Linked DNA regions of Oryctolagus cuniculus. The protein of the gene in region 1 purifies or fractionates together with the protein of each later gene. This does not show direct contact. Links are inferred from orthologs where the notes say so. Each region holds a gene or a part of one and is shown in the gene's direction. Other genes may lie near its edges. The genes, in order: STYK1 and TMEM259.

Region 1 (10,759 bases):
CGTGGGTTTTAAAGGCCTTCTCTTTGCTCAATTCAAATCTTTCTTGCTCCCTACCCAGTGTGCCGTTTTCAAAGTGACTTAGATGACCCTCAGCTGTCCTTAGATGATAATTTGTAGCCTTCGACCAAACCCATACAGTGAAAACATGTCTGCTCCTATGTCACGGATGCATACACATCCTATACACATATCAAGATACTTGAAAAATTTATGGAAAATGGAATTAAAGGATAAGTTATTTTAATATAAGATATTTTTGAATTCCATGCATAGGTTTTCATAATGTGCATTTTCCACGAATATTTTTTAAAAAGATTTATTTATTTATTTATTTGAGAGAGAGAGTTACAGACAGAGACAGAGAGGTCTTTTCTCTGCTGGTTCACTCCCAAATGACTGCAACGGCCAGAGCTGAGATGATCTGAAGCCAGGAGCCAGGAACTTCTACCAGGTGTCTCACGTGGATGGAGGGGCCCAAGCGCTTGAGCCATCTTCTACTGCTTTCCCAGGCCATAGCAGAGAGCTGAATCAGAAAAGCAGCAGCTGGGACATGAACCAGAGCCCATATGGGATGCCAGTATCACAGGTGAAGGCTTAACCTACTGTGCCACAGCACCAGCCCTCATATATACATGGATTTCATTTTTTTTTTGCACCAAAATGAACTTGTATGTTAACTTAATTTCCACCAGTTTTTAAAAGTACCCTCTTATATATACATATATGTATGTATGTTTGTGTGTGTGCATATATATATATATATATATTTCTGTTCCCCTCTGATGTTGAAGCAACCACTGAGAAGCATATGAGAAATCTGAGTTTGATCAAATTTAGTTCCACAGGGACGTTTGAAAATTGATAGAGTGCAGACCAAACTCAGTGCAAGAGCAATGGTGTTTTACTTGTCTAAATATCAGTGTGCTGCCAGCTTCAGTTCAAAGATAGCAGATGATAAAATTCATTGCATTGCAATTACTCATTCTGGCTATAATGGCTCTTATTTAATATTTAACTTTTTGAAACTAATGACTTGTGTTTTCCCAGCTCCCAGCAGATAGAAGCCTAACAGAAGAGGGAAAGTAAGAAGAAATTAGAAAGCAGCAACAGGAGGATCCAATAGTGTCGGCAGGAAGGGACAGCTGGTAAACCAACTTGGAAGCAGACAGTGAAACAAAATTACCACCAGTAGTTTAAAAGGGACTATTAGAAAACATAAGGAAAGTTTCAATTGTGTCTAGGAAGGCAACTAATATGCTAATGAATATTTGTATGACAACTGTTGCTATTTTGTAATTTGTCAGCATGGAAGGGTTAAGTTTCCAACACCTGGTTTTCCCTACAATAAACAGTTACTGTATTGAGCTGATTATAATGTTTAAATATCTTAACTACAAGCACACACACACAGAGTGTAATAATTCTGGCTGACAGGTATTTCTTCTATGTTTTCTTGTATGGCTGTCCTTGCGGTGGAAGCTTAGCCTTACAGCTAAGATGCTGGTTAGGATGCAAGCACGCCATTATTAGTATGCCTATGTGTGATCCGCAGCTCCTGATCTTAGTTTCCTGCTAATGCAAACCTTGGGAGGCAGTGATGATGGCTTAAATAATTGGGCTCCTACTGCCCACAGGGGAGACTTGGATTGAGTTCCTGGCTCCCAGCTTCAGCCTAGCTGAATCAATGATGGGAGCTCTTTCTATCTCTGTCTCTCTGTCCGTATGTCTCTCTGCCTCTGAAATATATACTTTTTTGACAGGCAGAGTGGACAGTGAGAGAGACAGAGAGAAAGGTCTTCCTTTTCCGTTGGTTCACCCTCCAATGGCCACTGCTGCCGGCGCATTGCGGCTGGCGCACCCCGCTGATTGGAAGCCAGGAGCCAGATGCTTCCCCTGGTCTCCCATGTGGGTGCAGGGCCCAAGGACTTGGGCCACTCTCCACTGCACTTCCCGGCCACAGCAGAGAGCTGGACTGGAAGAGGAGCAACCGGGACAGAACCCGATACCCCAACCAGGACTAGAACCCGGGATGCCGGTGCTGCAGGTGGAGGATTAGCCTATTGAGCCGCGGCACCGGCTGAAATATATAATTTTTTAAAGGCTGTTCTTTATACTAGGGGAGACACCTGACAAAGTGCATGACCTTACAGAACTTAATTTTTTTTTTTTTTTGAAAAGCAGAGTTACAGAGAAGAAGGAAAAGGGAGAAAGAGAGGGGAAACAGAGAGGGGGGAGAGGTGGAGAGAGAGAGAGAGAGAGAGAGAGAGAGAGAGAAACTTTTTTTTTTTTTCGACAGGCAGAGTGGACAGTGAGAGAGAGAGAGAGAGAGAGAAAGGTCTTCCTTTGCCGTTGGTTCACCCTCCAATGGCTGCCACAGCCGGTGCGCTGCGGCCGTGCACCGCGCTGATCCGATGGCAGGAGCCAGGTACCCATCCTGGTCTCCCATGGGGTGCAGGGCCCAAGTACTTGGGCCATCCTCCACTGCACTTCCTGGCCACAGCAGAGAGCTGGCCCGGAAGAAGGGAAACCAGGACAGAATCCGGTGCCCCGACCAGGACTAGAACTTGGTGTGCCGGCGCCGCTAGGTGGAGGATTAGCCTAGTGAGCCGCGGCGCTGGCCAGAACTTAATGCTTTAATGAGGAGATCACTGAAATCACATGAAAAGCCAACATAAAGTGTGGGGCGATACAGTAAATGGTTAAAAGCTCCATCTTGTATTACAGAATAAAAAAGGTATACATCCAGTCCTAGCACTGCTGGTTTAGCATACACTATGCATTTTTTAAACTACAAAGAGTATGGCAGAACACTTTTTTCCACTCTGCATTGTCCAGTAAATGAGAGGAAACCAGAGTGATGTTGTTGTGAATGTTTGTGGGAAGGGGTACTCTCTCTCCTCATACACTTGCCTAGTCAAATTTCTCTTGTTCGCCTCTCAGGTATAATATTATGAAGTCCTGCTGGCGCTGGAGTGAGGACAGCCGCCCTCTGCCTAGAGAGCTGCGTGTGCGCCTTGAAGCTGCTGCTAGAACTGCAGATGACAAGGCTGTGTTGCAAGTGCCAGAGTTGGTGGTGCCTGAACTGTATGCAGCCGTGGCCGGCATCAGTGTAAACAGCCTCTCCTACAGCTACAGCATCCTTTGACGGCCCCACCCCCCACTCCAGCAGGAAACACTCATGGACGACTGTATGCTCTTCGAAACAGTTTTCCTCCAAGAACAAAGAACAGACTTTCTGGGGGAGAGATAAAGGGAGAAATGGGACAAGCATTCTGGATCTCTCCCTAACCATTTCCCTAGAATTCTAAAATGATGTTGGATGAGGCTCTCCACACATATCTCTTTGAGCTCAGGAATTCGTTATCAGTCCCATTTTGATAGACCCTGGGGGAGCAGTGGTGGAAAACGTTACAGCCCAGCAGGTATCAGAAATCTGCAGTGTTTGTTGGGACATGACAAACATGAGCTGGTATCTCCCACCCAAGGTTAGTTTACTCCTGAAGAATGTTTTTATCTAGACTCCTACAAAGTCCAGAGGAACAGAAATCCAATGAGAGAGTGGATGAGAAAGAATATACAAGATTTAATTTGCTTCAGGAGTGTAGGTGTGGACCCAAATCTGTGTATGTGTGTGTGTGTTTGTGTGTATGCACATGGGTGTAATGAATAAGGATTGTGATGGCTAAGTATGAAGGTTTGGTGGTTTAGAAGTCTTTAAGAGGGGTTAGAAAAGCATGTATGTAATCTGATATGGAAGGATGGTAGCTTCATGGTGAAATATCATTAAATTAATACTCATTAAATGGAAGTACGATTTTCTGGTTCACAGCTGCCAAAGTATTTCTACAATAGAGAAGATAAAGGTAAATGCCTAGAAGTTAATTCAACAGAAAAATTTAAGGGACAACCTACATTGTCAGAAAAGGGATTCTTTATGTGTGAAATGGGGATAATATCCAACTCACAGAAGGATTGAATGAGAGTATGTATTTGTGCAGTGTCTGGCATAAAACAGTGCTCAATAAATGTTAGTTTCCTGTCTTGTGCCCTTCCTAACCCAGAATCTTCCAAATAGATTTCATATAAAATCTGTGACCCAGAAGAAAGCCTTGGTCTGTGACAGTACAAAGCTGGAAAGGCCTGTAGATAATGGCATGGTACAACAAACAACACATGAATAAAATGGTAAAGTCAATGTTTTTCAAAAAAGTATGTATGTATTTGAGAGAGAGAGAGAGAGAGAGAGAGAGAGGGAAATAGAGAATATCAAGACATCCTATCCACTGGTTTACCCTCATGCCTGTAAGAGCTGGTGCTGGGCCAGGCCAAAATCAGGAGCTGAGAACTCAATCTGGGTCTCCCACATGGGTGGCAGAGATCAAAGTGCTTCAGCCATCACCCGCAGCCTCCCAGGATGTGCATTAGCAGGAAGCTGGAGTCTAAAGCAGAGTCAGGACTCAAACCCCACACTCCCATATGGGATACAGGCATCCCAAGTGCTATCTTAACTGCTGCCCCTGATGTCACCATTTTTGTGTGAACTTCTGGATGACAATAATATTCCTATTTCAAAATATTAAAGATAGGGGTCGGCACTGTGGCATAGTAGGCTGGGCCTCTGCCTGCAGCACTGGCATCCTATATAGGTGCTGGTTTGTGTCCTGGCTCCTCTTCCAATCCAGCTCTTGGGTCCTGGCTTCGGATTAGCTCAGTTCTGGCTGTTGGGGCCACTGGGGAGTGAATCAGTGGATGGAAGACCTTTCTCTGTCTCTCCATCTCTGTCTCTCAAATAAATAAATACAAAAATTTTAAAAAATATTAAAAGTATCATGATGAGAGCAAATCTGTTGAATATGATGATCTGTAATTTTAAAGAACACTGGGCTGGAGGCCAACATTGTGGCATAGCAGGTAAAGCTGCTGCCTGTGACCCCAGCATCCCATATGGGCGCCGGTTTGTGTCCTGGCTGCTTGGCTCCACTTCTGATCCAGCTCTCTGCTATTGTGCACAAAAAGCAGCAGAGCATGGCTCAACTGTTTGGGAGACCTGGATGAAGCTCCTGGCTTTGGCCTGGTCCAGCCCTGGCTCTTGTGGCCATGTGAGGTGTGAACCAAAAGATGGAAGATCTCTGTCTCTCACTCTCTCTCTCCATCTCTCTAACTCTGACTGTCCAAGTAAGTAAATTAAAAAAAAAATAGAATGCTGGGATCTAAAGCTGCTGAAGGAAAAATGACAGCTAAAAATGATGTAGGAGTTGGAAACTTGATGGAGTCATGATGAGTTAGCCAAATAAAGACTGATTCTGTTACTCCTGGAAACTTCTCAATGATTTGTTGGGATTTAAATGGGCAGTGGATGGCAATAGAAGGGAGGTAGAGTGGCTTGGAACAAACAATAAGTTTCTGGGGAAATTCCATTGTTTCTCAGATGTTCCTTTAAGTCAAATTTACAAAGTATTTATTTGTTCACGTACTTAAAATGAAACTTTTAAATGTTTATTTATTCATTTGAAAGGGAGAGACAATGATAAGGAAGCAGAAATATTGAGAAGTCTTCCATCTGTGAGTTCATTCCCCAAATGCCCACGACAGCAGAGGCTGGGGCAGGCTTAAGTCAGGAGACAACAAACAACACATGAATAAAATGGTAAAGTCAATGTTTTTCAAAAAAGGGATCCTATCTGGGTCTCCCACAGGGGTTGCAGACCCCAAGCACTTGAGCCATCATCTGCTTCCTCCCAGGGTGCACAGATTAACAGGAATCTGGATAGGAAGTGGCGATGAGACTTCAATGCAGGCACTCCAATATGGGATGCAGCATCCCAAACAGCAACTTCTCCCACTGCGCTGCCATAGTCACACAGATACTGAATACTGACTCACTGTGCCAGACACTGGATGCCAGGTGTTGGATAAAAAAATAAATAAATAAAAACAAGGAGATTTTTGATTAGTTCAGAAGCTAAGAGACTGTATATTTATTTGTGTGGGTATCTTTTAGTTACAAATTATATTAAGCACTATCAAAAGAAATCATAGGATAGAAAGAAGTATGCTGTATCTTTGAAGATACAGCATTTAACTTGAGACCTTAGGGATGGGTAGGGAAGACAGTGGGAAGAGCCTTCCAGGAATGCACTACATTGGTGAAAACTCCAGGGCAAGAAGCATTGTTTGAGGAACTTCAAGGAAGCATAGGGGCTGCACATGGTGAGAGGGATAGTGGTACAGTGAAATGCAGAATGAACCTTTCAAAGGATCCATGCATATTTGTTTTGGTAGGAGGGAAAGAAGCAGACAATTAGCATTTTAAACTTTACCCTAATTTATTTATTTTCCTGAATATAGGCCTGGAAAAATGGAAACAGGAACTCTGATCCTTAGAAACCAGTAACTTCTCCTCACTTGGCTTTTTTTGAAAGGAGGATTTTGTGTCTGAGGGTTTTTTTTTTTTTTAAAGATTTATTTTATTTATTTGAACAACAGAGTTACAGAGAGAGGTGGAGGCAGAGAGAGAGGTCTTCCATCCACTGGTTCACTCCCCAGAGGGCTGCAATGGCTGGAGCTGCGCCAATCCAAAGCCAGGAGCCAGGAGCTTCTTCCAGGTCTCCCATGTGGTGCAGGGGCCCAATGACTTGGGCCATCTTGTACTGCTATTCTAGGCCATAGCAGAGAGCCGGATGGAAGAGGAACAGCCAGGACTAGAACCGGTGCCCATATGGAATGCCGGCTTCAGGCCAGGGCTTTAACCTGCTGTGCCACAGCGCTGGCCACATATCTGAGGTTTTATTTCTGGTATCTAGATATTTTATAGACAAAACTAGGTACTTCAAAGGTAATGAATGCAAAACAGAATTAAAACAGTCACCATTTAATCAAGTGGAATTCATATTTTTATTGTTTTGAACAGCCTTCCTACAGTTTTGTTTTTATGCTCTATATTAAAAAAATAACAACAGTTAGGAACTGGGCAAACATATGCCTAGGTAAAGCGGCTAAAGGAAACTTAACAATCTAGTTTTGCATAGAATAATATGAACTGGCAGTTACTGTTATGGAAACTGAATAATAGTGGCACTTTTCACCATTTTTAAAAGAAAAAAGTTAATAGAAGTTTCTTGAACTTAAGCTTGTTGACCTAATTCAAAAAAATTTTTTTTGCTTTACCACACTGATTTACTTAAATAATCAAGTAGCTATTACAATGGAAGACCAGAGGACCTCCTATTATTCTTAATTTAACAATCTATTTGAAGCACAATAGTTAAAGGTTATGCTATGTCTTTGAAGCTGTACTCTGCAAAAAAAGTTCTTAGATTGGATAATGGAATTAAATATAGCATCATATCATTATAACCTAGATATAGCTCCATGTGCTCACCATACATAAACATATCTGATAAAAAAATGATATGGTAAGTTTGATGTTTCTGCATGATGGTGAGTCTCTTACTTAGAAAGAAATATCGCTGAGTAGTTTAAAACAAACAAAAGATAGGCTAAAATCCATAAGGGATGTCCATTACAAAAAAGAGAAAGGTAGGTAGATGGAATAAGGACCGAAAGAGGCTAACTCATTCTTCCTTTTTCTCATTTTAAACCACTTTATTAGCATGCTCTGTTAGAACATATATATTTGACTTACTACTCTGATCCATTTAACGGGATGAGATAGGCCTGACTGCTTTCACAAAGTCAAAGCTAATCAAAAAATAATGATACAGTAAACCAAACAAAAACATTAGACTATTATCTACAGTGTTTATTACAATGAAGGTAGAACATACTTCTGAAAATCAGAAGTCAGAATAATTTGGCTCTTTTAAATAAAGAGGCAAAAAAGAATTTGGAGGACACATGAGACATAAAAGTGTGATCAAATGAAGAGAGAACTTTCTATGTAGGAAAAATCAGTAGAACATTTTAAATGTTAACAATTATAAGATATAACTTTCTTTGGTGATAGCCCCCTAAATTGATTCATCACCTTGAAGCTCAAGGAAAAGAACATAGAAACTCTACAGAAGAATCATTATTGTGTCAATGAATATTGTATACCTGAACAAATATTAGGCTCCATTTCAGTTAGAATTGGTAATAAAACATTCCTTATCTACTTCACAGGTGCTTTGAAGTTGACCACTCTGTTAGCAAGGACAAAAATAGTGCTTTGGCTTCATTTTAGTAGCTCAAACTTTTTTTTTTCCATAAGTAAACTGTGGAGTTATCATTAAGTCTGCACTAATTTGAAGCAACTGAGATTGAAAAACAGTTACAGGGGCCAGTGTTATAGCACAGTGGGTTTAGCCACCATGGCTTGCTACACTGGCCTCCAATATCAGAATGCCAGTTCAAATCCCAAATCTCTGGTCCCAATCCAGCTCCCTATTAATTTACCTGGGAAGGCAGCTGAGGATGGCTCAAGTACCTGGGCTTGTGCTACTCATGTGGGAGACTCAGGTGGAGTTCGTGGCTCCTTGCTTCTGCTTGGCACAGTCTTGGATGTTATAGCCATTTGAGTAAACCAATGATTGAAAGATACCTCTCTCTCCCCCCACGCCTCCCTCTCTCCTTCCCTCTCTTTCAAATACATACATACATAACTTTTGTTTATAAAAACACCCACAAAATATTTTCATGAAAAGTTTCCTATATCTGTGCTGACCAACACAATAGCTACTAGTCACGTGGAGTTCTTTAACTGGTAATCAAAATTAATCAAATTAGGAATTCTGTTCCTGGGGCAGGCATTTGGCACAGAGATTTAAGACGCCACTTGAGATGCCCACATCTTATTATCAGAGTGCCTGGTTGGAGAGAGTCCCAAGCCCCTCTGCTTCCAATTCAGCATTCTAGTAATGCACACCCTGGGAGGCAGCAGGTGATGGCTCAAGTACTTGGTTCCAGGCCACCATATGGGAGACCCAGATTGATTTCTGGCTGGGTATTGCGAGCATTTGAGAGTAAGCCAGCAGGTGGAAGATCTTTGTCTTTCTGCCTTTCAAATGGAATGAGCATTTAAAAATAATAAATAAAAATATGAAAGAATTCAGTTATTCAGTGACATGAGGCACATGTGATCAAAGTGTGATCACTTTGTAGTTCTTGTCCTGACACAATGGGTACACTTTTGCTTTAAGATATGAATAGTTGGAGGCCAGTGCTGTGGCACAGCAGAAAAAGCCATCACCTTCAGTAGTGGCATCCCATACAAGCATGGGTTCTAGTCCCAGCTGCTGCACTTCCAGTCCAGCTCCCTGCCAATGTGCCTAGGAAAGCAGCAGAACATAGTCCAAGTGCTTGAGCCCCTGCACCCATGTGGGAGACCTGGAAGAAGCTCCTGGCTTTGGTTGTTGCAGCCATTTGCGGAGTGAAGCAGAGGATGGAAGATCTATCTCTTCCCCCTTTCTCTCAGTAACTCTGCCTTTCAAATAAACAAATCTTTAAAAAAAAAAAAGATATGAATAGTCAGGTAAATATAGTTCTGTATTTCATCTTTAAAAAGTGGATTAGTCTTGAACTCTTAAGTCTTCTTAGGGGATCAACACAGTAACTGATCTACAAAGATCAGTGCATTCCATAAATTCTATTTACATAGTCACAAATTCTGGTATCCACAGCTGTATTTAGGCATACCTAAAAATAAACATGGGCCATGTGCCAAAATCTGAAGAATATACATCAGAGAATCTGAAGATATTGAATGAAGCTTCTCATGTAATTCAACTAGATGGACCACAACCAGTATTTTCAGAAATACTATGAAATATTATGCTCAAGTTTATGTGAATTAATCCTGGGTAACCAACTCACCCCATCTTTCCTGGGACTCTCCAGGTTTTAAAGCAGGAAGTTTCATATCACAGGAACCTGCACAATCCAGGGCAAATTGGACTGGCAACTTAACCTAGTGGTATGGCTTGGTGCTTTATTTTTCTTTTGTGTTTTCAAATGGTGGTCTATAGTAAGAACTGAATCATTTTTCCTGATAAGTAATTATACAACTGTTAACATAGTCTCAAAATAATCTGGCTGAATCATCCTTTCTAGTCACTCCACTTCCATGAACTTTACCTTCCAGCTACCCTGAGTTTCTTGGCATGCGTTTTCACACCACCTTGTTTTAGCTCATCCTCTGGTTGGAATGCTTTTCCATTGGCATACAGAATTCACACATCAAGGCCCAGTTCAAATAACATCTCTTTTCACAAGCCTTCTCTGATACTTCCCTTTCTTCGAATTTTCCTACTGCACAGCAGAATGGCTTCCTGTGCTGTGTTACCAGCTGTTTTACACTTAGCACTTTATTATAGCAGTCGCCCCCTTGTGCTCGGGTTTGTCTTACATGTTTGCTTTCTTTTCTAGGCTACAGTGCAAACGGCTTTTTTCTTTTTACTACCATTGTCCAACTGTCTCTGGCACACAGGAAATGTCTGCTAAGACTCATGTCTTACAAATTGCAGTTTTGTTTTTTTTTTTAAACATAATAATCTCATCCAATCTTCTCAACAGTCTGTGGGCTTGGCAAAGTCCATTACCACACAATTCTCTGACAAACAAGCTTAGAGGAAGTGACTTGCCCAAGATTCGGTAGGGCTACTGTTGGGATTGAATCTCCGTCTTCTACGACTTTTACTCAATCCCACCGAAGTCTGTTTGTCCTCCAATAGATAAGTTTCCTCTGTGCATTGCTAAGAAGGGGTAATCAGGAACGGTGAAAGCAGACTTTGTATAAAAATCCATCCTGCTCTCCTCTGCC
Region 2 (11,681 bases), on another chromosome or scaffold:
CTCAAATGCCCACCACAGCCAGGGCTGGGACCAGGAGCTCCATCCGGGTCTCCTGTGCGGGTGGTGGGGACCCAGGGCAGGGGTGGGCGGGCACAGGGCAGTGGGGGGTGCAGGGCAGGGGTGGGCGGGCACAAGGCAGTGGGGGGCGCAGGGCAGGGGTGGGCGGGCACAGGGCAGCGGGGGGCGGGCGCCCACTCACGTGCACAGGATGACCCCATCCTTCAGGCCCTTCTGGAAGTCGGGACCGATGGACAGGCCGGTCAGTCCCTCGATCCAGCTGCGCAGCTCGGCCTCCTTCTGGCCGTCGTACTTGGACAGCAGCTGTGGGGCAGCGCTCGGTGAGGCCGGCCCCCCCTCCCCCCTGCCACGGCACACGATCCCGGGCCGCGGGACCCCGCCCCTGCTCCCCATCACCCCCTCAACACACACACAGCGGCGCTCGGTGCCCTCGCGACAGCGTGCAACCCATCTAACTCCAGAACACTCCGTCCTGGCTCGCGGCCGCCAGCTCCGGCCAGTTCCCTGCTAGGAAAGCAGCGGAGGGGCCCAGGTCCTCGGGCCCCTGGACGAAGCTCCTGGCTCCAGCCTGGCCCGCCCTGGCCATTGTGGCCAGGAAGCAGCAGATGGAAGAACCCCTGTGTGCAGGTCTCGCGGGTGCTGGCCCCGGAGTGCAGCGCCCACTCCCTGCGGAGGAGCCGGCCGGGCGGTGCACACGCGTCCCCGCCCACTCGGATGCGGGTGTGGCTACCCCGCCTCGAGAGGACCCCCATCTCCCCGAACTCCCACCTGCAGGAGCTGTCCTGCCCAGCAGGGGGCGTGTGGGCTCCCACAGGAGCACCCCGGCCCCGCCCACCCCTCAGCACCGAGGGACCAGAGGCGGCAGAGCGGGATTTAGGGAGCTCTCCTGCAGCTTGGGGCGGGTGGGGGGAGAAGCCGGCTGCCCTGGGGGCCTCTGCTGCGGATCCCGCCCCCCCCCCCCCCCGCCTAGCGCTCTCTCTCTAAGATTTATTTATTCAATAAGACAGAGAGGCCAAGGGAGAAAGAGAGATGAAGAGTTCATTCACTGGTTCCCTCCCCAGATGGCCACAACGGCCGAAGCTGGTCTGATCCGAAGCCAGGAGCCAGGAGCTCCATCCGGGCCTCCCACGCGGGTGCAGGGGCCCAAGGACTTGGGCCATCGTCCACTGCTTTCCCAGGCCACAGCACAGAGCTGGATTGGAAGTGGAGCAGCGGGGACTTGAACCGGCGCCCACATGGGATGCAGCCCTGCAGGCGGCGGCTTTACCCGTCGCGTCACAGGGCCGGCCTCTTGCCTCCCTCTCACTTCCCCCTCCCTCCTGCCCCCCACACCCCAGGACCCCGTGGACTCCACAGCTGCCCTCTGCCCCCCACCCCGCCTCTGAGGGGCGTCTTCCACCCTCTGAGCCTCGGTCTTCCGGCATGAGCCCCCCCCTGCTTCCCGGCTGTGCACCCTGCTCCTACGGCTGGGGCTGGGCCCGGGGAGGCCGTGGCACAGTGGAGACAAAGGCAGGGGGGGGCTAGCCCCACCCCGAGAGCGGGCGGAGGGCTCAGGCCCTGAGTGGAGCTGGAGGCTCAGGGCGCCACGCACGCCTGGTGCAGCTGGGCTGGGTCACTGTCAGCCCCGGGGGCCGGGGGGCCGGGGGTCAGCACTCCTGGCAGAGGCGCCTGGCGGGCCCCTCCCACGGGGCCGCCCTCCCCCTGCCACCTCGGCCCCCAGTGCATTCCTGCTCCCCACAAACTGCCAGGAATGTGCCCTGGCGCCCCTGCTGAATTGGGACCAGCTGTTCCCGGGCCGTGGCGGCTGAGAGGCCCCGGACCTCGGCCTGCCTCGTGCGGCCTGGGTCGCCCCGAGCGGCTGCACCGTGGACAGGGCGTGGGCTCGGAGCCACGGGGACCGGGTCTGCAGCGGGGCTGCCAGCTCGGTGCGACCCCGCGAGCTGCCGGTGGCGCTGCTCTTCCAACTGGGAGGCCGCGGGCCGGACACAGGGAGCTGGGGCGGCCGCTGCTCCTCTGACCTCAGCGCCGCCAGGCAGGTGTCGGCCTGCCCCTCACCACACCCTGCTGCCGGCTCCGGAAGCTGCCTCGCCGCGGTGGGGGTGGTGGGAGGGCGGTGCACCCTCCCCACTTCCGCTGTCCTGGGCCAGCCCACCTGGGAGAGCCGGGGGCCAGTGGGCGCTGGCCTTGGGTCTGGCCTGGGCCCAAGCTGTGTGGTCCTGCGGCGCCACTGCAGGCCGGGTGCAAGCCAGGGCTTAACCACGCCCAGTGGTTAGGGCAGCCGGCCACCGGCTGGGTCCCTGCTCGCCCGTCCGCCCTCTGGTCCCCGGGTGGGCAGGCTCCGAGGAGCCCCAGGGTCTCCCGGAGGGCAGGGACCTGTCAGGCCCGCCGAGTGCCCAGCCTGTGCTGTGGGGCTGCATCCCCAGGTGCCCCCGGGGGAAAGTGGGGGGGGCAGGATGACCACGCCCTCCCACCTGTCAGCCGGACAGGCCACTAGGAGGAACCGAACGTTCCCCATCTCTCTCTGCCCCTCCCCACTCAGGATCCCGTTCCTGCCCCTCTCCGGGCCAGAGCCACAGTGGGCTCTCCAAAAGGGTCTCCGGGCCGGCCAGCTCCAGCCCCACGCCCGCCCGTCTCCTGGAGCCCATTCCGGGCCCGGCTCCTGACTCCAGCTCCCTCTGATGCACGATGCACGCTGGGAGGCAGCAGGACCGGCTCCAGCGCGGGGGTCCCTGCCACCCCGCCCCCGGGGCCCCGGATGCAGCCCAGCCCTGGCCATAGTGGGCACTTGGGGGGTGAACCAGTGGGCGGAAGCTCTCTCCCTCTCTCTCTCTCTCTCGCAAAGTTTTTACAAAAGTCTCTCATCGGCCCTGTCCACGCTGCCAGGCATTTCAGGGTCGCGCTCGCTCGGGGGCCCTCGGGGAAGGCGGGGCGGGGCGGGGCAGAAGGCGCCCGCAGGTTTAGAACAGGTCGAGAAAGTCCCGCGGGGGTGGCCCACACCCTGCTCAGCACCGCGGCCCCGCCCCTTTCCTGTCCCGAAGCCGAAAAAGCAGAAGTGCGGCCCGCGGATGGGGAGGGGGCTGCAGGGGTCCCCCCACCCGCGCTGCACATTCCGAGGCCTGGAGGCTGTGGGGGTCGGGGCTGAGACCAGAGGGCGCATCCACGGGCCCAGGTGGGCGGGGAGGGCGCCCAGACCACCACCCAGCGCCGCGGACGGGAGGCGCTGCCTCGTCTGGAATCTCGGGGCTCCCCGAGGAGCCGTGGGGCGCCCCTCCCAGAGCCGCCCCGACGCCCGCCCGGGTCCGAGGCGCCGCCCCTCACTCACCCGGTTCTTGACCTCGGCCGAGAGCCCGTACGAAGGCCCCTTGTTGAACTGCGTGGAGCTCATGCTGGCGGCGCGGACCGAGCGCGCGGGACGCGGAGGGGCGCGCGAGGCGGCGTGCCGGGGGCGGGGCGCCCACGAGGGGCGTGCCGGGGGCGGGGCGTGCGGGCGGCGGGGGCGTGCCGCGGCGGCGACGGCCCCGCCCCCCGCCGCTGGTTGGCCCGCCGCGCTCTTGTCCTTATAAGGCCGGGCAGCGCCGAATTCCTGCGGCCGCGGACTTCCTGAGCCCCTCGCCGCGCCCGACCCCCACCCGGGTCGCGCTCCCGGGACGGCGGCGGCCGGGAGGGGCCCCTCGCCCGGCGGCTCCGCTGACACCCCCGCCCCGGGAGCGCGACCCCCGAGAGTCCCGCGCCACCCCGGGGCCGGACGGAGACCGGGCACGCGGTTGGTGCTCCACGGGCGGTGTCTGTGCGGGAGCCGGGCACACGGACGCAGAACAGCGTGGACGTCCACGCGCTCGCGCGTGCATCGGCCTGCGCCCCTGCTGCCCGCGGCTCAGCCCCGGACTGGCGGGAGGCAGTGCAGGGGCCTGGCGCCCCTGGGGTCCTTTCCTCTCCTGGGGGGCGCCCACGCCCACGCCCACTCCCATCCGGGCAAATCCTTTCCCTTCGGGGTCTCGGTTTCTTGCTCACCCCGAGCGTGCGGGTGGTCGACCCAGCAGCCGCGAGGGAGGGAGATCGATCGGGGCGTGCGCAGGGCGGGGTCCCTGCTGCTCTCACCGCACCTGGGGGTCCGCGTGGTCTACCCACCACGCCGCGGCCCCACAGGCGGGTCCAGGACACACAGGTTGATGTGATGTCTTCTCTGCCCCGCAGGGCCCACCCGGGGCTGTGCAGCCCCCATCCAGCCCCGCTCCCCGGGGGCGGGCCCGGCCCCCAGCCCCGACGAGCCTCAGCCTCGGGGGAGGGGCTCGCGTCCTGGCTCCGGAGCCGGCTGGCCCGTGTGCTCCCGGAACAGGGCCCAGTGGCAGCCGCCTTCAAGGTGGGGCCCCGTTCGGGGGTCGGGAATCTTTTTTGAAACAACCCGGCTGTGTGTGAATTTTGTCTCAAAGAAAAAGTTTCTTTCTATGAGGCAGAGTTCATGGAAAAAATTGAATATTTTATTGGAAAGGCAGCGAGATCTTCGCGGCTCGGTTGGGTCACGCCCCAGATGGCTGGGGCGGGCCGGGCTGAAGCCGGGAGCCAGGAGCTCATTTGGGGCTCCCACGGGCCCCGGGGTCTGCGTCAGCGGGGAGCTGGCGTCGAGAGCCCGAGCCAGGCACCCGAGGAGGGGTCCTCACGGCCGTGCCACCCGCTGCCCCTTGCCTGTGCCCTGTCAGCCTCGCTCTGCCGCTGGGGAGGGAGCTCAGGGCGGTTCCGTGTTCCCCGACCTGGGGACGTGCAGTGACACCCAGGTCCCGTCCTGCTGGCGCCGGCTTGCCCCGTGCCCTGTGCTCACCACGGCGGATGCCGCACCCGTCCTCCGGGAATGCTCAGTCCACTCCCCAGATGGCCGCAACGGCCGGAGCTGCGCCCATCCGAAGCCGGGAGCTTCTTCCCAGTCTCCCACGCGGGTGCAGGCGCCCAAGGACTTGGGCCATCTTCTACTGCTTTCCCAGGCCACAGCAGCGAGCAGGACAGGAAGTGGAGCAGCCAAGTCTCAAACCAGCACCTATACGGGATGCCAGGCTTCAGGCCACCACGCCGGCCCCTCCCACCTACTTGGAAGAGAGGGGGAGACAGGTCTTCCACCTGCTGCTCCCCAAATGCCTGCAGCAGCCGGGGCTGGGCCAGGCCGAAGCCAGGGGCCCCGACGGGGGTGTCAGGGGCAGGGCCCCCGCCCCTTGCTACATCCTGGGATTCGGGAACCTGGGGATATCCCAGTTCTAGAAACTCGGGAACACGATGCTGACCAGTTCCGTGACCTCCGCAGCGTCCACCCCCGCTCCCTGGAGGCTGTGTCACCTTAGGAAGCTGAGCCCGGTCCCCTGCGGGACGAGGCTGCGCCAGGAAATGTCCCCAGGGTGCTGGGCCCAGGGGCTGGCCGTCGTGCGTCAACGTGGGCCCAGGACGGCCGGGGAGGCCATGGGTCGCCCCCCTACAGTGACACGGGGCGGGGGTGGGGCTGCAGCGCCTGGGACCAGCAATGGCCCTGGGCACGGGACACAGGGAGCTATGGGTGTGACCCTGTCCTGTAGGTGACTTCTTGTCCCTGAGCTGCCCCTAACAGAGCCGCCTGGGGCAGGACACCGGCACACTGGGGGCGTCAGGGCCGGCTTCCGTGCCGTCCAGAGTTTCCTTACAGCGCCAGCAGGCGTGCGAGGGGGCAGGCGTGTCCCCCCAGCCCGGCGCATCCCACACCGGCCCTCCCACCAGGTCCCACCTCGCAGACGGAGGATGCACACGTGCGTCCCCTCCGGGTCGCTCTCCACTGCTGGGCTCGTGCGCGTGCCCCGTGGGAGTCCAGAACCTGGGACCCGGCCGCCCAGGTGGGAGCGCACCTTCCACACTGGCCCCAGCGCAGGGCCCCGGGGTGGACGGCTGCGGGGTCAGGGACAGGCGATGTCCCACAGGCCTGTCCCTCGGGGAGGGCGCCTCTGTCCCCTCCCGCGTGAACCCACCCACGGGGGCGGCGGCGGCGGGGGCCGAGCGAGCACGGAGGCGCGACAGGGGCGGGCGGGGTCGCGGGCGCAGCCCTGACCGGGGCCGGAGAGCTGCGGGGACCAGGTGCCGTGTGAGCCCGCAAGGCGGCGCGCGGCTCCTTCGGTGAGGCCCCTGCCTATCAAATAGGTAAGGGAAACAAAGTCACAGCGCTGCTGCGGGCAGAGCTGCGGCGACCGTGGCCCCGCCGGGCCCACCTGTGAGCCGTGGCGCTGCACCGCGGGAGCTCCGTGTCCCGGGGTGCGTCTGCTGTGGGTTCAGTGCCCTCTGGTCCCGGGCCGCCTTCTCACCTGCTCCGGTGTGTGCCAGAGGGCAGGAGCAGGGCGTGGGCTGCAGAGCGGACGGCGTAGACCCCCGGCCCCCGCGCTCACCGCCCAGTCACGCACACCCTGCGTGGGCATTCACGCGCGACGGCTGCGGCTCCACGCGAACCCGGCCGGCTCCTCCTGCACGCTGTTCGTGGAAAGGGGTAGCAAAATATGGAACGCTTCACGAATTTGCGTGTCATCCTTGCGCAGGGGCCATGCTAATCTTCTCTGTATCGTTCCAATTTTAGTATATGTGCTGCCGAAGCGAGCACGAACAAGCAGTGCCTGCCGCTAGTATTTAAAGGTCACTAACAAAATTACTTTACATTTAGGGTACCTTTGGTATAGTTTCGCAGAGAGCATAGTACCTTCGTGTTCTACAGAAAAGGACAATTTCTGTACCCTTACTTACTTTGAGTCACATCTAAGCCTAAAACTACCCATAATGTTACAATTCAAACGAGGCCTCTCAGTCGCGAAGGCTCCTGGGAAGCAATATGCAAACGAGTAGTGCCACGCGCAGCCACGCCCCCGGGCTCCGCCGAGGCGGGCCGCGGAGCGTGGGGGCGGGGCCTCCGCGGTCGGGCCGCCGGCATCCCAGGGTGCCCCGCGGGCGCAGCGAGGCTGCTCTGGCCGTGCGCGGCGGCTCGTTGGTCAGCAGGGCCGCGGCCCGGAGGAGGCGGAAGATGGCGGCGGCGGCCGGGGGGCCGTGAGCGGCGCGAAGGGGCGCCGATGGCGGCCGGGAGGCGTCCCCGGGCACCCGCGGGCCGTTAGGGCGCGACGCCGGACGGCATGTCGGAGCACGCGGCTCCCGGAGCGCCGGGGCCCGGGCCCAACGGCGGCGGCGGCGGCCCGGCCCCCGCGCGCGGGCCGCGCACCCCCAACCTCAACCCCAACCCGCTCATCAACGTGCGCGACCGGCTGTTCCACGCGCTCTTCTTCAAGATGGCCGTGACCTACTCGCGGCTCTTCCCGCCCGCCTTCCGCCGGCTCTTCGAGTTCTTCGTGCTGCTCAAGGTGACCGCGACCCCCGACCCCTGACCCCCGACCCCCGACCCCCGGGCCACCCGCCTGCCGGGGGACCTGCCGCCCGCCCCCTCCGGAAAGTTCACCCGTTCCAGTCCCGCACTTGCCGCCGACCTTTGACCCCACTCTGGTGCGCCTTCCCCAGCCTGGAGGGTCCGGCGCCCGCCTCCCGGTGGGGGTGTCCCCTCCCCGGGGCCTCCCCCGCCCCTGCCCGCGCCTCACCGCGAAAGTGACAGCTGAGGTCGCCAGGCCTCCGGCTCCCCCCCCCCCCGCCGGGGTCCGCCCCTCCCGGGTCTGCTCTGGGGGGCCTGGAGGGGGTCGCGGAAGGAGCTCGCCCGGCTCCGGGGGCCGCCCGTGTTCCGGGTTTCCCTCCGGCCAGGGGAAGTGGGGAAGTGGGCAGGGCGGTTTTCATCAGCGCCCCGCCCGCGGGTGCGGGGGTGCAGGGGTGCCGGGGGCGGCCTGCGCCCCGCCTGCCGCAGGTGGGAGGGAGGGGGAGCCCCCTGGACCTCGCCTCGGCCGCCCGTCCCCGGCCTGGAGCCGGACGCCGCACGCCGGGCCGCCGCCCCCTCCGGACAGCCGGGTCTGCGGCGGCCGAGGGGGCCGCGGGGCCTCGCGGGGCCCCTCCGTGGGCGTGGAGTGGCCGGCCCCGGGCGCCGTGTGGTTGCTGGAAGCTCACCGGCTGTCGGGCCAGCTTGGTGGCCTGCTTCCTCCTGCCGGCCGCGGCGCTGCCCCGAGTTCCGGAAGCACCTTGCTTCCTGCCCGTGGTGTCCACGCGGCGCCAGGCGCTGGGGACGCGGCCTCAGACCACCCTGCTGGCCTCGGCCGTGGCCTCTGCTGGCTTCAAGGCACAGAGCAGGTGCCTGGGCCAGGCGGCCTGACCTGCCACGGGGTGAGGGCCCTGACCCGTGGTGGCGTGGACGTGGGCGGTGGTGGTTGGGAGTGGCGGGCACCCCCGCGGGGTTCCTGGGAAGGCTGCGGCGGGGGGACCCAGGGTGCCGGCGGCGGGGGGACCCAGGGTGCCGGCCGCGGGTCCCGGGGCTGGGCCTTGGGCGCTCTGCACCCTCCCCGCACGGGGAGATGCGGCCTGGAGCCGTGTCCAGGGTCACTCCGACCCCAGAGACAGGTGGGGAGGCAGGAGGCAAGGCCCGCCCCGGCAGGCCCTGCTGCCCAGGCTGCTGGCCGGGGACTGCTGCAGCTCTGTGGCTGTGCCTTGGCCGCCTGTGAACCCGCGAGGCGTGTCGTGGCCGGCCCAGGACCAGGAGGTGCGGCGTCCGGCCACACCCACGGCGGGTCCCAGCTCCCGCCTCCTGAAGGCCGCCCGTCCCGCAGGTCCCGGTCAGCCCACTGCCGTCCGTCTTGGCTTCACAGCCGTCCGGGGGCCTGGCCGTGTCCAGGTGCTGTGGGGGCGGCAGGGGTGTGGCCGGCCACAGCAGGATGTGGGCGCCCAGCTGTTGAGACAGGCGAGGTCTTTGGCCGGGGACAGGCGGCACTGCCCGCTCGGGCCAGCCAGATGGACAGAGGCGGCTGGGGGCGCGTGCACCGGGACGACCCTCGCAGGGGAGACGCCCGGCCCGGGTCCAGCCGTGTGCGGGGGCGGGTGGCCATGGTGGACGCCGGCGGGGGGTGCCGGTGCGGGGGCGAGCCCAGGCTCTCCCGCGCTGCGCGGCGCTGACCCCGCTGTCCCCCCAGGCCCTGTTCGTGCTGTTCGTGCTGGCCTACATCCACTTCGTCTTCTCCCGCTCGCCCATCAGCTGCCTGGAGCACGTGCGGGACCGCTGGCCGCGGGAGGGCGTGCTGCGCGTGGAGGTGCAGCACAACTCGAGCCGCGCGCCCGTCTTCCTGCAGTTCTGCGCCGGCGCCGGCGCCCCCGGGAGCTGCCCCGGGCTGGCCGTGGAGCCGGAGGACGAGGACGAGGAGCTGACCATGGAGATGTTCGGGAACAGCTCTGTCCAGGTGAGCCGCCAGGCCCGGCGTGCGGCCCCTGCCGGGGGCGGGGTCTGCCCTCCCAGCGCCCCAGTGGCCACGAGGAGGGGTCGGCTGGGCCTGGGCGCCGAGAACGGAGGCCGGCCAGGGCTGGGCCTGCTGTGGGGCCCCATGTCCCTGGCTGGCGGCCTCAGTGCTGGGAGGGCGGGCCGTGGGCCGGCCGTGACCAGGGCCTCCCGTCGGGGCCTGGGTGCTGTCCCCACGCGCCCACCCCCGGGGCTGGGGCAGCGCCGGGGTGGGGTCCCCGCAGGGCGGTCAGCAGGCCCGAGCTGCTGCGGGCCCTGACTCTGGCTCCGCCTCCCCAGTTTGAGCTGGACATCGAGCCCAAGGCGTTCAAGCCCCCGCGGGGCACTGAGGCCAACGACAGCCAGGAGTTCCCCTTCTCCGAGACGCCCACCAAAGGTACAGGGCCGCGGGCCACCCGCTCTGGGGCCTGGGGGTCCCGGAGCAGAGCCTCCAGCTTATCAGCAGGGCCCTGGGCAGCCGGCAAGGACCCCCTCCCCGCGCTGACCGCCCCTGCACTGACCCCCTCCCCACGCTGACCGCCCCTGCACTGACCCCTGCCCCGCGCTGACCGCCCCTGCACTGACCCCTGCCCCGTGCTGATGGCCCCTGCACTGACCCCTGCCCCGCTCTGACCGCCTGCCCACTCTCTCCCTCCCGCACTGACCGCCCCGCCCACTCTCTCCCTCCTGCGCTGACCGCCCCGCCCACTCCCCCAAGCTGTCCGCCCCACCCACTCCCCCGCGCTGACCCCCTCCCCGCGCTGACCGCCCCTGCACTGACCCCCACCCCGCGCTGACCGCCCCGCCCACTCCCCCGCGCTGACCACCCCCCCACTCCCCCGCGCTGACCCCCTCCCCGTGCTGACCACCCCTGCACTGACCTCCACTCCGCGCTGACCGCCCCGCTCACTCCCCAACACTGACCCCCGCCCCGCGCTGACCGCCCCTGCACTGACCCCCACCCCGCGCTGACCGCCCCGCCCACTCTCTCCCTCCCGCGCTGACCGCCCCGCCCACTCCCCCGCAGTGTGGCCGCAGGACGAGTACATCGTGGAGTACTCCCTGGAGTACGGCTTCCTGCGGCTGTCGCAGGCCACGCGGCAGCGCCTCAGCATCCCGGTCATGGTGGTCACGCTCGGTGAGTGGGGGCGGGCGCGGGGGGGCCTGGCCGAGGGAGGCGCCCGCGGCTGACCTGCCCCTGCCCCGCCCCCAGACCCCACGCGGGACCAGTGCTTCGGGGACCGCTTCAGCCGCCTGCTGCTGGACGAGTTCCTGGGCTACGACGACATCCTCATGTCCAGCGTGAAGGGCCTGGCGGAGGACGAGGAGAACAAGGGTGAGCGGGGGCGGGGGTGGGGTGGGGGGGCGGGGCGGGGCCTGCGTGAAGGGCCTGGCGGAGGACGAGGAGAACAAGGGTGAGCGGGGGCGGGGGGCGGGGTGGGCGGGGCCGGGGGCGGGGCGGGGCCTGCGTGAAGGGCCTGGCGGAGGACGAGAACAAGGGTGAGGGGGGGCGGGGGTGGGGTGGGCGGGGCCTGCGTGCAGGGCCTGGCGGAGGACGAGAACAAGGGTGAGCGGGGCGGGGGTGGGGGGGGTGGGGGGCGGGGCCGGGGCTGGGCCTGCGTGGAGGGCCTGGCGGAGGACGAGAACAAGGGTGAGCGGGGCGGGGGTGGGGGGGTGGGGGGCGGGGCCGGGGGCGGGGCCTGCGTGAAGGGCCTGGCTGAGGACGAGAACAAGGGTGGGGGGGCAGGGTGGGGGTGGGCGAGGCCGGCGCGGGGCTGGCCTGGGAACTGGGGGGGCGGGGCCAGGGGCTGCCGGGGCGGGGCCTGGCCTGGGGGTGGGGCCTGGCCTGGGGGCAAGGCAGGGACGGGCCGGCTCATGGCCCCCACCCCCCAGGCTTCCTGCGGAACGTGGTGTCGGGCGAGCACTACCGCTTCGTCAGCATGTGGATGGCGCGCACGTCCTACCTGGCCGCCTTCGTCATCATGGTCATCTTCGTGAGTGCCGGGGCGGGCGGGGGACCATGCGGCAGCTGGGGGCGGGGCGGGGCGGGGCGGCTGTAGCTGGGGGCGGCGCGGGGCGGGGCGGCTGTAGCCGGGGGCGGGGCGGGGGACCATGCGGGGGCGGGGCGGGGCGCGGCGGGGCGGCTGTAGCCGGGGGCAGGGCGGGGGACCATGCGGCAGCTGGGGGCGGGGCGGGGACCGCGGCCGCCCCTCACGCCCCGCCCTCCCGCAGACCCTGAGCGTGTCCATGCTGCTGCGCTACTCGCACCACCAGATCTTCGTCTTCATCGGTGAGTCTCGGCCGGGCGGGGGCGCGGTGGGCG

What was found.
Region 2: the proteins of STYK1 (region 1) and TMEM259 purify together in Homo sapiens (affinity purification with mass spectrometry; 3 studies listed by BioGRID and IntAct, with this or other methods). This does not show direct contact. The link is inferred for Oryctolagus cuniculus from reciprocal best matches to the Homo sapiens genes STYK1 and TMEM259.

The regions. Positions count from the first base shown.
Region 1 is NC_091440.1:108,189,400-108,200,158, reverse strand, and holds the end of STYK1 (tyrosine-protein kinase STYK1), read left to right. Parts: intron 1-1,047; coding exon of another isoform or gene 1,048-1,069; exon of another isoform or gene 1,070-2,207; intron 2,208-2,940; coding exon 2,941-3,145; 3' UTR 3,146-5,309; downstream 5,310-10,759. UniProt on the Homo sapiens protein: Probable tyrosine protein-kinase, which has strong transforming capabilities on a variety of cell lines. When overexpressed, it can also induce tumor cell invasion as well as metastasis in distant organs.
Region 2 is NC_091447.1:58,536,735-58,548,415, reverse strand, and holds the start of TMEM259 (membralin), read left to right. Parts: upstream 1-6,947; 5' UTR 6,948-7,136; coding exon 7,137-7,361; intron 7,362-9,059; coding exon 9,060-9,323; intron 9,324-9,658; coding exon 9,659-9,755; intron 9,756-10,385; coding exon 10,386-10,496; intron 10,497-10,571; coding exon 10,572-10,694; intron 10,695-11,251; coding exon 11,252-11,352; intron 11,353-11,590; coding exon 11,591-11,681. Other genes in the region: CNN2 (calponin-2), read right to left, coding at 200-321, 3,341-3,403. UniProt on the Homo sapiens protein: May have a role in the ERAD pathway required for clearance of misfolded proteins in the endoplasmic reticulum (ER). Promotes survival of motor neurons, probably by protecting against ER stress.